2 linked regions of the Elephas maximus indicus genome follow. The protein of the gene in region 1 purifies or fractionates together with the protein of each later gene. This does not show direct contact. Links are inferred from orthologs where the notes say so. Each region holds a gene or a part of one and is shown on either strand. Other genes may lie near its edges.

Evidence for each region. Proteins that work in one complex are often made in the same cells at the same time.
Region 2: the proteins of TOX4 (region 1) and PPP1CB purify together in Homo sapiens (affinity purification with mass spectrometry; 5 studies listed by BioGRID and IntAct, with this or other methods). This does not show direct contact. The link is inferred for Elephas maximus indicus from reciprocal best matches to the Homo sapiens genes TOX4 and PPP1CB.

The regions. Positions count from the first base shown.
Region 1 is NC_064828.1:31,830,939-31,838,956, forward strand, and holds the start of TOX4 (TOX high mobility group box family member 4), read left to right. Parts: upstream 1-5,001; 5' UTR 5,002-5,066; coding exon 5,067-5,072; intron 5,073-5,284; coding exon 5,285-5,353; intron 5,354-8,018. UniProt on the Homo sapiens protein: Transcription factor that modulates cell fate reprogramming from the somatic state to the pluripotent and neuronal fate. In liver, controls the expression of hormone-regulated gluconeogenic genes such as G6PC1 and PCK1.
Region 2 is NC_064830.1:47,747,760-47,754,806, forward strand, and holds the start of PPP1CB (serine/threonine-protein phosphatase PP1-beta catalytic subunit), read left to right. Parts: upstream 1-3,863; 5' UTR 3,864-3,945; intron 3,946-3,954; exon of another isoform or gene 3,955-4,013; intron 4,014-4,162; 5' UTR 4,163-4,250; coding exon 4,251-4,302; intron 4,303-7,047. UniProt on the Homo sapiens protein: Protein phosphatase that associates with over 200 regulatory proteins to form highly specific holoenzymes which dephosphorylate hundreds of biological targets.

The DNA.
Region 1 (8,018 bases):
TGTTAGGTGCTGTTGAGTCGGTTCATAGGGTCCCTATGTACAACAGAACGAAATTTGATTAGGCAGTATTTAATTTTGTAATTTTTTTTTTCAATTTTTTATTGTGCAATGTCAAGTGTTGCGTGACATTGATTTAATTCTCCATAATGTGTCAGCACTCTCCCCATTTCCCTCCTAGGTTCTTGTTTCCTTTCTTCTTGAATTGCTGTTGCTTCATGCCTCCTTATCTTTGCTTTTGGGCAAACGTTGCCTTTTTAATCTAATATAATAGATTGTTCTAGGGAACACATTCCTCTCAAGTGTTATTGTTTATTCTTTGGGCCTGTCTATGGTTTGGCTGAAAGGTGGTCTCCATGATTGTCTTCAGTTCTGTTTCAGAAGGGTAACTTAGGGCCGTAGTCTCAGGGATTCTTCCAGTGTCTGACAGACCAGTAAGTCTAGTCTTATTTTGTGAGTTTGATTTTTTGTTCTACAATTTTTCTCCTGCTCTGTGTGGAACCCTCTGTTGTGATACCAGTAGAGTGGTAGGTAAATGGTAGCTGGGCACCATCTAGTTCTTCTGATCTCAGGGTCGTGTAGTCTGTGGTTAATGTGGTCTATTAGTCCTTTGGCTTAATTACTCCCTTGAGTCTTCGGTTTTAGTCACTCTCCTTTGCTCCAGATATTAAGAGACCAATAGCTGTATGTCAAATGGCCACTCACAAGCTTTTAAGACCCCAGATGCTATGCACCAAAGTAGGATGTAGAACTTTGTCTTTATTAACTATGTTGTGCCAGTTGGTGTAGATGTCCCCTAAGTCTATGATCCTTTGCCTTCGAACCCAGGAGCTTCATCCCATGAGGTGTTTGGTTATGTCTAAGAAGTTGCCCTGACTGTGGCCCTTGTGTGCTCTACTGTCTATATAAGCAGCATCTACAGTTATGTATGTAGAAATATCTACCACCAAACCTATCTCTGCAGGTGGATGTGTTCCCTTATGCCCTCCCACACCTCTTGTCATACCTATCTACCTATGTATCCATTTGTAAATTAGTGTTTGTTAATGCTATTTTAACAGGATTTTCTATGCTACAGTAATCACTGTTGTTGCCCTTTGTTCCTCTCAGTGTCCTCCCACGCCTTGGTCATGTTTTGCTGACTTCCCCCATATTGTGTATTGCCTTTCCCTTCACAAATATTAAGACATGTCTTCCATCTCTTTGGTAATTTTCCCTCCCTTTCCCACCCATTCCTGGTAACCACCAGAGAATTTTTTTTCCCGTGTGTAAACCTTTCTTGTTTCTTTATAATAGTGATCTCATACAACATTTGTCCTTTTGTGATTGACTTATTTCACTGAGCATAAAAACCAAAAAACAAACCTTTTGCCATTGGGTGGATTCCGACTGACAGCGACCCTATAGGACAGAGTAGGACCGCCCCACAGGGTTTCCAAGGCTGCCTGGTGGATTCGAACTGCCGACCCCTTGCCCAATAGCCGTAGCTCTTAACCACTACACCAGCAGGGTTGCCTCACTCAGCATAATGTCCTCCAAATTCATTTATGTTGTGAGATGTTTCACAGATTTGTCATTATTCTTTATTGTTGCATAGTATTCTACTGCATGGATGTACCACAGTTTGTTAATTCATTCATCTGTTGATGGGCACTTAGGTTGTTTCCATCGTTTTGCTACTATGAATAATATTGTAATGAATATAAGCGTGCATATGTCTATTTGTGTCACGACTGTTATTTCTTTAGGGTGTATACCTAAGAGTGGGATTGCCGGTCAGTTTTTCTGTGGTGTGATGTATGGGTCCTGTTTAATTTTTTTTTTTACAAATGGACATACAGTTTTGCCAGCACCATTTGTTAAAGAGGCTATCTTTTCTCCGTTTAATGAACTTTGGCCTTTTGTTAAAGATCAGCTGTCCATAGGTGGATGGATTTAAATCTGGGTTGTCAATTCTGTTCCATTGGTTAATTTTGTTAAGTTTTTCATAAAATATCTAAAAATTTTGATGTCTTCTTGGAGTCACTCTGTAGTCCCCCTACATGAAACAATATATATTTTTGCACATCTGGAACTTTTTATTTATTTCTAGCTTTTTAAGGAAGTGCCATATCATTTTGCATGGTGGTTGTACCATTTTACATTCCCACCAGCAGTGTATAAGACTTCCAATCTTCCTACAACCTCTCCAACATTTGTTATTTTGTTTTTTTGATTAGTGCTGGTAATGTTGAGGTGGGATGGTATCTCGCTGTAGTTTTGATTTGCATCTCTCTAATGGCTAATGATGGAGAGCATTTCTTCATGTGTTTGTTAGCCATCTGAATGTGTTCTTCGGTGAAGTATCTGTTCATATCCTTTGCCCATTTTTTAAATTGGTTTGTCCTTTTGATGTTAAGGTGTTGAAGTTTTTTAAAATAAATTTTAGAGATTAGACTCTTGTCGGATATGTCATAGCCAAAATTTTTTCCCTGATCTGTAGGTTCTCTTTTTACTCTTTTGGAGAAGTCTTTTGATAAGCATAAGTGTTTCATTTTTAGGAGGTCCCATTTATCTAGCACATCTTCTGTTGCTTGTGCATTTTTAGTTATGTTTGGTATTCTATTAATGCCATACATTAGGGCCCCTAGTGTTGTCCCTATTTTTTCTTCCGTGATCTTTATAGTTTTAGGTTTTATATTTAGATCTTTGATCCATTTTTTTAAATTAACTTTTATTGAGCTTCAAGTGAACATTTACAAATCAAGTCAGTCTGTCACATATAAGTTAATATACATCTTACTCCTTACTCCCACTTGCTCTCCCCCTAATGAGTCAGCCCTTCCAGTCTCTCCTTTCGTGAAAACTTTGGCAGCCTCCAACTCTCTCTATCCTCCGATCCCCCCTCCAGACAGGAGATGCCAACACAGTCCCAACTGTCCACCTGATATAATTAGCTCACTCTTCATCAGCATCTCTCTCCCACCCACTGTCCAGTCCCTTTCATGTCTGATGAATTGTCTTCGGGGATGGTTCCCGTTCTGTGCCAACAGAAGGTTTGGGGACCATGACCGCCGGGATTCCTCTAGTCACATCCAGACCATTAAGTATGGTCTTTTTATGAGAATTTGGGGTCTGCATCCCACTGATCTCCTGCTCCCTCAGGGGTTCTCTATTGTGCTCCCTGTCAGGGCAGTCATCGATTGTGGCCGGGCACCAACTGGTTCTTCCGGTCTCAGGATAATGTAGGTCTCTGGTTCATGTGGCCCTTTCTGTCTCTTGGGCTCTTAGTTGTCGTGTGACCTTGGTGTTCTTCATTCTCCTTTACTCCAGGTGGGTTGAGACCAATTGATGCATCTTAGATGGCCGCTTGTTAGCTTTTAAGACCCCAGAAGCCACATTTCAAAGTGGGATGCAGAATGTTTTCATAATAGAATTATTTTGCCAATTGACTCTTTGATCCATTTTGAGTGAGTTTTTGTGTGGTGTGAGGTATGGGTCCTGCTTCATGTTTTTTTTTTTTTTTTTTACAAATGGACATCCAGTTTTGCCAATACCATTTGTTAAAGAGACTATCTTTTCTCCATTTCCTGAACTTTGGCCTTTTGTTAAAGATCAGCTGTCCATGGATGGATGGATTTACATCTGGGTTCTCAATTCTGTTCCATTGGTTAATTTTGTAACTTTTTCAAAAAAATACCTAAAAATTTTGAAAATATTTCTTGATGTGTTTTTAGAGTTACTCTCTAGTCCTCCTACATGAAACTATATATTTTGCACCTCTAGAACTTTTTGTTTGAGAAAGAAGCCTATCTGAGAATTAGGTTGTCAAGAGTGATATACTTCGGATGTTTAATAACTCCCATAGTTCATTGGAAAGTAGTCTCTTGAATAAAAAATAGGAGTATGGAAATTGGCAGTCTGAATAAGTCTTTTGGTTTACCTGGCATTCACCTTGTCTCAAGAATTAAAAACTGAAGGTCAGTTACATGAAAAATTCTTGGCCACAGTCAGACAACTTGGCCTACTTTCTATCTTCATACAGTACTTTGCACATAGCATGAGGAATTCTGATTTGCAAGAAAGTGCACTAATACGGCTTATGCTAAAGGGTTGATATACACTTGTTCAGTGTCTCACATAGGTACGCAGAGATATCCAAAATATCTCAACTCTAAGGTGCTGCAGTTAAGGAAGATACAAGAATCACTTCGTACTATTCTAGATTGCTTCATGAAGTATCGAGTGGTAGCTACTGAAAAAAAGTTGCTAAATCTTTTTTCCCCCTAGAGTAGGAATAGAATTTCAACAGGTTAGAATTGAAAATAAAGCTTTTGTCTCCCTTTATGCAGTTTCCTCTAGTTATGCACTCAAAGACTCTACAATTTGTATAGATTTTCTATCCAACTGTCATATTTTCTATCCAGCTGTCGTATTCTCTTGGTACAGAGAACAGAATTCTGAAAGAAACATGTCCTCTGTCGGACTCTGGGGAAAACTTGATTGATCACTACACTTCTCGGTTTTAAAACTTGTCATTTGCTCAACATTTCCTTCAGGTGAGCCTTGCTGGCAGAGTGGTTAAGTGCTAAGCATAAAGGTCGGCAGTTCGAATCCACGATCCCGCTCCTTGAAACGCTATGGGCAGTCCTACTCTGTCCTATAGGGTCGCTGAGTCGGAATGGACTCGACAGCAACGGGCCTTCCGGTGTTTTAAAACTTGGTACCTAATTTTTTCTCTAGCTTTACTTCTTGCCACGCTTCGAACTCCATGCTCCAGCCATATTAAATCACTTTCAGTTTTCCAAAAGTGGCCTGATTCCTGTTCTCTTCAGAAAACCTCTCTCGATCCGGAGCGGCGGAAACACTCCAACGCCGCCTCCAAAGACGCCTCTAGCACCTCCACATGCCATTACTCCACCTAGCTCCAGGGGGCGAGCGTTAGCCTCTCCGTACGCTCGGCCTTGCTAGGCCTGACTGGCTGCCGCAAAGAGTGACGCACATCCTTACGGAAGTGACGTAAGTTCCGAGTCCAGTAGGGGCGGTGGGAGCAATGAGGGGAGTAAGGCGGTGGTAGCTGTTGTGTGAAGATGGAGGTAGGAACCCGAGCGCTAAGAAGGCTGGCGAGAGAACGCGGCCGACGGGGTTGAAGCAGAGGCGAGAGGCCGGGCGGAGAGGCGGCTGACGGGGGAGGAGAGAGACAGCCGGGTTTGGGGAGTGTTGTCAGAAGGTCGGGGTCAGAATACGTCGCTCCAAGCTCCTCCCTGCTCCCGCTAACTTATCCCCGCGGCTTTCTTTTGGTTTCCAGTTTCCCGGAGGAAATGACAATTACCTGACGATCACAGGGCCCTCGCACCCCTTCCTGTCAGGGGCCGAGGTGAGCAAGAGCTGCCGACGCTGCGGGGGGAGGGCCTGAGGCAGCGGGCGGGGGTGGGGGTAGGTTGGTGGGGCGGGGAGCGCGGAAGCCGGGGGCCGGGGGCTGGGAACCGGGGCCGCGATTGGTGTTTAGAGAAAAGTGGCAGCTGCTTCTGGAGCCTGTGAGGACTGTGTGGGGTGGGTCCGGGCAACTGCTGTCATTAGAAAAGCAGAACGTTGGAAAGAGATTATCTGTTTAAGGAGAAGATTGATTCTGGATTGGAAGACTGCGAGGAACTGTCTCATTTTGTTGGGCTTGAAAATTTTTAGCTAAAGAAATTGGGATGAGGGGAGGAGCTTACCTAGCAGGGGTTAAGTGTGGATATGTGCTCATTCTTGAAAGGAACACTGTTTAAGGGATCTTTTTCCATTTACATTTCCTACTCAGGAAATGTAAAAAGTTAAAAAATTAGTAGGTATGTTTACATACATGGTGCCAGCATGTTTTGCTAATGACAAGAGGAAAAGAAATAGTTGCCAGAGAACATGAAGAGAGTTGAGTAGAACATGTCTTCTTGCTTGCCAGTGACTCAGAGTTTCGGCAGGTTGCTTCCTCTTTGTATGTCACAGTTTCCCTAGCTATCACGTGGCTATAATAATAGTTTATGATGTTGTGAAGTAGAAGTAATTGTTATGGTAAGGTCCTTTAGTATTTGTGGAATATTGTCAGAATACAGATTTGTATCACTTGTTTAGACAAGGCAAAACAGAAAGGTGGAACATACAAAATACATTTTTCAGTCTTTGAGAAAGTGTGAAGTCTTCATCTTTCTACTGTCTTTTGAGTATTATTTTTTCCATGAGTAGAGTGAACAATTTGCATCTGTTTTTGTACCAAGGATTCTCAATTGCTGTTGAACGGGCTTATCCTACAATAAATCCTAAAATTCTCATGGATGAGAATAAGGTTGACAAGGAGCAGTTGCTAGTCTTTTTTTTTTTTTTTAACTTCTTTATTGGTATTATCATTTATTACTCCACCATTGAATTTCAGTTTTTGGAATGTTATAAATTTCACATTAGCCTCATCCACGTGAAAGTACATTTCAAAACTAAATATAAGTAGCTTTCAAATTTACCCATGATTCTTAATCCTTTGCCCCTTTTATGAACTTGTAACTACATAAGAAGTGGCGCCTTTTTATAACTTCAAGAAACTCTTCAGGTTTAAGGCTGATCTTTTTTGATGACTTTAAGAAAAAAATAGAACATTTTTGTCAAGAAACTCATAACTAAATTTTAGACTCAAGTTCAGTAGCTTCCTGTAGCCTAGGACTTCTGTCATTGCTAACTTTTAATGGGTTTGTGGCTTTTGTTGTATCTGATCTTACTGTGAGCCACCCCAAATATAGTTTAGAGATAAGCAAAGGTAATTTTTAAAAAAATTTTTTTTAGAGTTTTCTTATAAGAAAAGGATAGACATCTACAAAGGGCATTAACCATAAAAGAAAACACAGAGAAATTGGACTTCATTGAAATAAGGAACTTTTTTTGTTAAAAGACATCATTAAGAAAGTAAATAGGAACTCCATAGATTGGGAGAAGATGTTTACAATACATATATATCTGATTAATATTCAGAGTACATCAAGTAATTCTGCAGAGTAAAAGAACTGAATTTAGAAATAGGCAAAAAATTTGAGCAGGTACTTCACAAAAGATGATATCCATGTTGCTATTAGGCATATAAAAAAGTGTCATCATCACTTATCAGGGAAATGCAAATTAAAATCATAATTAGAAACTATTGCCTACCTGCTAAAAAAAAAAAAAAAACCTGCTAGAAGGTTAAAATTAAAAAGACTGACAATTCCCAAGAGTTTGCAAGGATGTAGATAACCTCATTCATTGCTGCTGAGAGTATAAATTGATTCAACCACTTAGGAAAACTGGCAGCATATACTAAAGATAAGCTTATGCCTACACTGTGACCCATCAGTTCCACTCGTTGATACATACTCAAGAGAAATGAGTGCATATGTTCACTAAACATATGTAAGAATGTTCACAGCAACTTTACTCATAATAGCTAAACATTGGAACCAACCCAGGTATCAACTGAAGAACGGATAAGTAAACTGTGGCACATTTGTGAAAGGAATACTACATAACAATAAAGAAAGAATGAACTACTAATAAATACTACAATAACTTGGATGATCTCAAAAATATATTTTTGACTGAAAGAAGGCAGATACAAGAGTATACACTGTATGAGTTCATTTTTTTTGTGAAGGTAAGGATAGGCAAAAATTAAACTTTTCATTAGGTGCTGTTGAGTCAGTTCTGATACATCGACCCTGTGTACAACAGAATGAAACACTACCTGGTCCTGCACTGCCCTCACAGTGGTTGCTATGTTTGAACCAATTGTTGCCGCCACTGTGTCACTCCCGTTCGTTGAGGGTCTTCCTCTTTTTTGCTGATCCTCTACAAAGCATGATGTCTTTCTCCAGGGACTAGTCCCTCCTGCTAACATGTCCAAAGTACGTGAAACGAAGCCTCACCATCCTCGCGTCTAATGAGCATTCTGGCTGTACTTCTTCCAGGATAAACTTGTTTGTTCTGGCGGTCCATGGTATATTTAATATTTTTTGCCAGCACCATAATTCAAAAGCATCAATTCT
Region 2 (7,047 bases), on another chromosome or scaffold:
CACCTCTGTACTGAGCTCGTGGCCTCCTACTGATGCATGTGTCCCTGTCTGGGTTCTCAACTTTCTTTAGTTGAGCTGACTACAAAAGCCTATGATATTTGCTATATAGAATGGTTGCCCTCCAGGTACACTTAGTAAATTTTAGAAATAGTCACTTAAGACTTATTAAAGACTTGATTGAGGGGAATATTTACTGGAAGACAGTCCAGTGAATTCCCATTCATTCATTTAAAAGCTATCTTGGATTAAGCAGGGCAGCTAAAAAGCTGTATATCACAACCTCTGCATTTTGCCACCTAACCCTACTTACCTCCACATCATGTTGGCCAATACTGAGAGACATTATAAGAAAAATACCTCTATGAAAGTCTTTACTATCTTTACTACAAGAAGTTACGAGGCTGCTCTTCACTGTGTTCCGTGGTGCTTTCTTTTTGAACTTCCATAGGGACATCTCTCTGGTCTCAGTACAGTGATCGTTGGGTTCCTCTAAGTACTGACTTTATATAATGGGCGCCAGCATGTCCCAGGCATTACCTGTAAGTACAAATAAGATCACATTTTTAATAAGACCCCCAAATCATGATACTCCAGACCTCTATCAGGAAGTTCAAGTGAAGATCAAGGGGTTCCTTCCCCAAACATTTCTGTAACTACACAAGGATACTGACATGTGTGACCCAAATGTCTTCCTATACCCAGGCATGTGCTGATAAATGTTTAACATTTGTCTCTCTAGAGGGAAAAGCTATGATTTGTAGCATTTATTGATTTCATTGGTGTAAATATTTCCACTGTGGCAAATTTCAAGTAATCAATATGATGTTACTGAACACAGAATCTGGAAGATATATATGTATTACATACATTCAGAAATAATACTGGAAAATGGTTATTTGTGGGTGGTGAGAGAAGAGGTGTTTTTGTTTTTGTTTTTTCACTTTCCAAATTTCCTTCAGCAATCATATTTCACTCTGGATAAAAGAAAGGAAAAAAAAAAAGATACTATAGTGGCAAGTATGACCCGAACAGCTGTGAAGTTATTTGTAGTGTTTATTTATCTTACTTGATGTTAATATTCACGTGATTTGCTTTAAGCTGCTGGGATATGAAGTAACATATAGAACATGTACCAGTTTACCTTAAAAATCTGAAGAGCTCTAAGTTCTTTTATAGTTCTTTGAGAGAGAGATCCCACAGAAAAGTTGGTTGAGACCCTAGTGATATAGTTTTCATTTTTATAATTGCTTTTTCTTTCCCAGGATTCCAAAGCAGTGGAAAACCTGGGGGTGAGAGGCAGAGAAGTGGACATCTGCAGACAATACTGAGAACCACTTTCCAATTCCTTCTGACCCCCAGAACTCTATGCTGAGACTGGCCTCTCTTCTGCTCTACCCATGGTGACTTTCTCTCAGAATTTCACTTTCTCTCTGTTCAATTCAGTTTACTTTGGGTATCCCTTGTCTTTTACATACGTCTGCATATATTTGAACCACAACCATAGATAAGGTTCAAAGTTTTTGTTCATGGAATTTAGGGACCCCATGAAAACTGCAGAATAAGTGTTCCCGAGCATTCTGTAACTCTTAAAGAGGCTCACGGAACAGATTCAGGGAAGTGGCACCCAACTCCACAAGTGATTTCAAGTCATAGTTCCAACATAGCCAAAACACCTACTCCACTTGTAACTGATCTTTTCTTTGGTTGCTGGAGAGCTTAGAGTCATATTTGTGGCCTCTTTGTAGCAAACCTTACACCATGCATTTTGCATACAAAACTGCCACTCCTGGTTTTATTTTGTCCTATTTTTCTCCGTACTCAAACCAAACCCATTGCCATCCAGTCAACTGACTCATAGCGATCTTGTAGGACAAAGTAGAAAGGCCCGTAAAGATTTACAGCCCTAGGATTTTCAGGGCATAAATCTTTACGGGAGCACACTGCCACATCTTTCTCCTGCAGAGCAGCTGGTGGGTTTGAACTGCTGACCTTTCAGTTAGTAGCTGGGCTCTTAACCACTGTGCCACCAGGGCTCTTTATTTTAATCTGTACTTATTTTTTAATCTATCCTGCTGCACAAATATATAAGCTACATTAAATCCTTTCTTCTAGAACAAACCAAACCAAAAACCAAACCCACTGCTGTCGAGTCGATTCTGAGTAATAGTGACCCTATAAGACAGCGTAAAACTGCCCCACAGGGTTTCCAAGGAGCACCTAGTGGACTCAAACCGCCAACCTTTTGGGTAGCAGATGTAGCTCTTAACCACTACGCCACCAGGGTTTCAACATAGAGTGACGAGGAGCCATTTCTTCATTTCCATCTGGTGGCATTGAGTTTGTGAAGGCTGCTCCAGACAGGACCTCCACTACAGCTTGCTACCTGTTCTCCTATGATCACAATGTACAAGCTATATTCTAAAACGAAGGAAGAGAAAGCTAGGGGGGACAAAAAGGTATTAGGAAATGCAAGCTCTGTAAGTCACCTGGACCATTACAAAATACATGGTTGGATGGTGCTTTTCTCTAAAACTTTTGATTTCTACTATCTAAGATTATGACATAGCACAAACACGCTTAAGCAGCTCAGCTCATGTACAGCTCACACACACACATTACAACAATTAAGCGTGCAGGCTCTGGCTCTAGATGCCTGGGCTTGAATCCCAGTGTTGCCATTAATTCACTTACTTGTATGATTTAGTGCTAGGTATCTAACCATTTCTGTGCCTCAACTAATCCTACCTACAAAATGAAGAGAGTAGTAGTACCTATCTCACACAGATGTAAATATTAAATGAGATAAGGAATGTATAACACTTAAAATAGTGTCAAGTACATACAGGTATCTCAATACGTGTTAGCTATTATTAGTGATACGTGGGTGGGAGAAGCACTGCCTTTAGCTTAGGGCAGAATCTGTCTGAATTTTGGAAAAACACCTGAGGAATGAGTAAAGATGATCCGGCCATCTCCTAGAACAGGCCAAAAACTCTAAGTTAACTAGATCCTTTGCGTAGCTGCTCTTCCTCCTGCTTTTGTAAAGGCAGTTTTATGTGATGGAAAGAACAGCTGAACTTCCGTATTTCTCCTTCTCCCTCTCTTCTATGGGCCAGACACAAACATAGATGTTTTTACTCTCTAGGAGCTTAGCGTCGAGTGTAGGAAATAAATGCGTAAACAACTATAACGTAGGATGATTAAGCAAATGAATGGAGGTATGAACAAAAAAGCATTGTGGAAAAATAGTATCCACAGGGTGATGTAAGACACGTGAAAGCGATACTCATATATTCCTATTGCTAATCCTTCCAGGGCCCACTTTAACATTTACTTCATCCTAGAACATCTGAGGACCTAACCTGGTGGAACAGTTATGTACAAGACCCCTTATGCGCAACGTTAAACTTTCTAGCAGAGTAACACCCCCTTGCTTCTGACACGCGCAAACCCGGGCTTCAAACATGGGTTACTGCAGTCTAGGCTTCCCGGTTAGCGGAAACATAAGGAATTGCTTGCAAAACCAGGTAATGAAGCCAAGCAAACAAAATTGATGTGGGAAGGACCCACCACGGCGTCTGCGGAGCGGCGAAGAGCCCGAGTGCCGGCCAGGGCTGGGCGAAGGCCAACCCTGCCTACGTACGCCCTGCGTAATGGGAGCTTCCTCGGCGCCGCAAATCCCCCAAACCCTCCGTGGCGCCTGCGCCGCTGCGGCGATTCGGCGCAGTAAAAGCGGAGGGAAAGGGCGACGCACCTGCGCTAAGGCAACCGCGGCGACGGCGGGGACGGCAGCGGCGAGCTGAGGGCAGTGCGATTGCGCCAAGGCCGGGGAGGCGAGGGGAGCCGCGAAGGGGTGCGCGGCGCGCCTGCGCGGACGGCTGCGTGGCGCGGCGGCGGGGAAGGGCCGTGTGGAGTGGCGCTGCGGGTGGGGCCTTGGCGGCGCTGGTGAGCTTTGCTGAGTTGGGCGGTGCCGAGGAGGAGGAGGAGGTGGCGGCTGGGTCTTACGAGGCCCGGTTCGTGGAGCCCCGTTTGTTTATTTATTTATTTATTTGTGTGCCTCCGAGTGTGCGCGCGCTCTCGCTGCTCGGTGGGGAGGGGGTGGGGGGAGGGCCCGGGTAAAGGGGGAGTGGGGACCGGGGTCGAAACGCCGCGTGACTTGTAGGTGAGAGAACGCCGCGCCGTCGCCGCAGCCTCTGCCGCCGAGAAGCCCTTGTTCCCGCTGCCGGGAAGGAGAGTCTGGTGCCGACAAGATGGCGGACGGGGAGCTGAATGTGGACAGTCTCATCACCCGATTGCTGGAGGGTGAGTGCGGAGCCCGGGCCGGCCGGGGCTGGTGGGAGGGGGCAGCGCCTTCATCCCCTCGCTCCCCCTTTTACCGCCGAAACCCGAGGGGGACCCTCCTTTCCGCCCCGTGAGCAGGGTCTCCGGAGGGAAGCGGAGCGAACCAGCCGAGGCATCCGCGGAGGAGGGGGCGAGGAGGCTTGTTGGCGGGGGGAGCGGTCTCCGAGAACTGGGGCTGGGGGAGGCTGTGCCCCGTGGGCCACCGCGTCGGGCTCCTGGGAATAATTTTCTTCGGGGCCCAGGAGCGCTAGTCTGGGGTGTGAGCAGTCTGTCTGCGGGGAGACAGCGTTTAAGAAGAGAAGGGCTGCTGGGTTCTTGCTGTTGTGCTCGCCTCCGGTGACCCTTTCCAAGGAGGGGGCGAGGATGCGTGCTGGTGTGCATTGGACGTCCGTGAAATGTGTGTTTTCTATTCTGCATTGGCCTTTGCTGCCTCAAATTGTTCCGGAAGTGAATTTTAAAAAATCTTCTTAATATGATTGTTAACCTGCCGTTCAGCGTGTTTACATGATGTTATAGAACGAACTCTTTTAAGGAGAGGATAAAATTAGCGGGGAATACCTAGCATTTTTTATTTAGTTTTTTAAAAATATGTAAAAACAAAATCCTTGATCGGGTTGAAGACTCACGCAAGAAATCCGAAAAGTGGATACGTTTTGTGAAGGGATTGGGCTTTGGGTTTGAGAATTTAACAGCTTTAAACGGAATTTAATTTCTGAACAAAGTTAGTAAAGGTCTTTCGTAAAGCTTCTCTTGTATTTGAAAGGTATTTACAGGTTTTATCCACATTTTAAGTTTCTGGCCCTGCTAGTTTTTATTGAATAGTTTTATGTTGGTGGGAGGAGGGTTGGGGAAAAGGGAAGAACTGATTTATTGCAGGAAAATTTTCAAAATTAATCGCAGTCTTCTGCCAATGACTGGTTTTCCCTAAAATTTACGCCATCGCTAGTTGTTTTATAAGTGTGTAGAAAAGAAATTAGGTCTTTTTAAAAATTTAGAGTTCTCTTTGTCAGGTGCAGTCAAAGGATTGTATATACATTAACTGCCATTTGCTTTCCAGTTATTTGGATATAATTGTTTACTACAGTGAAGCAGTATGTATTTAAATTTGGAAAATGACCAAAGAAGGTTGTGTGATTTGGGGAGGATACTAGTTCCTTTTTTTCATCTAGTTTGTCGATATCTAAAACCACATCAGTTCTGGTGTACCTGTTGTGTAATCAAATACAGTATATTTGCTCCAGATGTAAAAACCTTCCAACAGTCTTAAGACTGACTAGGAAGCAAAGTTTTACCAGGAACTCTTACTTACCTTTTCCTTTACTATCAAATTATTCCTGGGAGGCCCCCTGGTGCCGGTAGTCAGTGTTCACTACTTCATACACGAACGTGAACATCTTGCTGGGTCTTTAACTGTGAGATATTTGTTGTGAAAACGATTGTATAGATTTTGTAATTGTGCATTGTCGTAAGAGGGAAAAACAGTTTTTTAGAATTTTAGTATCTTGTCAACCTTTAGGGACGTTTAGGCCTGCCACTATTTTTGTACCTGTTAAACCTTGCGAGTAAACTTAAATATTTTTAAAATCTGATGTTTGTATCTCAACTTCTTTATATGTTTATTTACTTATATATTTATATACTCCATGGGCGTAAAATACAGTATATTTGCTCATTTAAAAATGCTTCAACTGGAACCTTTTAAGTCAGATCCACTTTTTATGATTATACTTAGGAAACTTCACTAGTGGATTTTCCAAGGTTATTGGGAAGAAAAGATGGTGGAAAAAATAGCCTAAGTGATTCCGTTTGTTTTTGTGTATGCAAATTTAAATGTTTCGTTTTCTTTTGGTGTTATTCTAGTCCAGTTACATTTTCCCTTTTTAACTTAAGCATTTATTGACTTCCTCTGTACCAGGCACCAGGAATCTAAAAACAGTCTTTCTCTTTACTCAAAGTGCCCTCAGTCTAAACAAGTGATTCTCCAGCTTTTTCCAGCCTCCTTTGTCAAGAGTTTCATTAGTTCCTAATTTCTAAGGAAGCGTATTTAGTTTGACAGTGCCTTATCCCTGAGATTCTCAAATTCTCCGCCCCCCATCTAGACCCATTCAAAGATATGTCCAAAGCATACTTAATTTTTCTAGTAAGTAATTGTTTATAGTCTTCAAATAAGATTTGTTTTTTGAATACCTTGATTTTCAGTGGTGGTACATGCTAACTAAATTTAACTCAAATTCAAATAATGGTCTTTTGTAAGCCAGTAGACTACGGTTAGGAGTTTGTTTTCAAAGTTTCAAATAAAAGTGCAAGTTAAAAGTTGGCCAGAGTTTCTCTACATTAGGGAAACAAATTTAGAGGGACATGATCTCATTTTAAAATGCTAATTATAGCTCTGCAACATATTCTTGATTGTTTTGTGCTGTATGAAATTGTCTATCAACTATAAAATATTTTATGAGTTGCATTGTGTTTTTCTTTTTCAGATAGGCATACTTTATACCTATCATTGCATTTGGAACATTTTAGTAAATGGAAAACAATGTACACTTCAGTATGTTTTCTTGGGTTAAGTTTTACATAAAACTAAAATCTGAAGATGTACCATACCATACCAGTAGTGATCCGGCTGCCACATTCTTGTGGCTTATCATAGTGCTCTTGACTGATTATTTAAATTGAAACTGGTTCATTTGGGTAGCCTGGAAAATC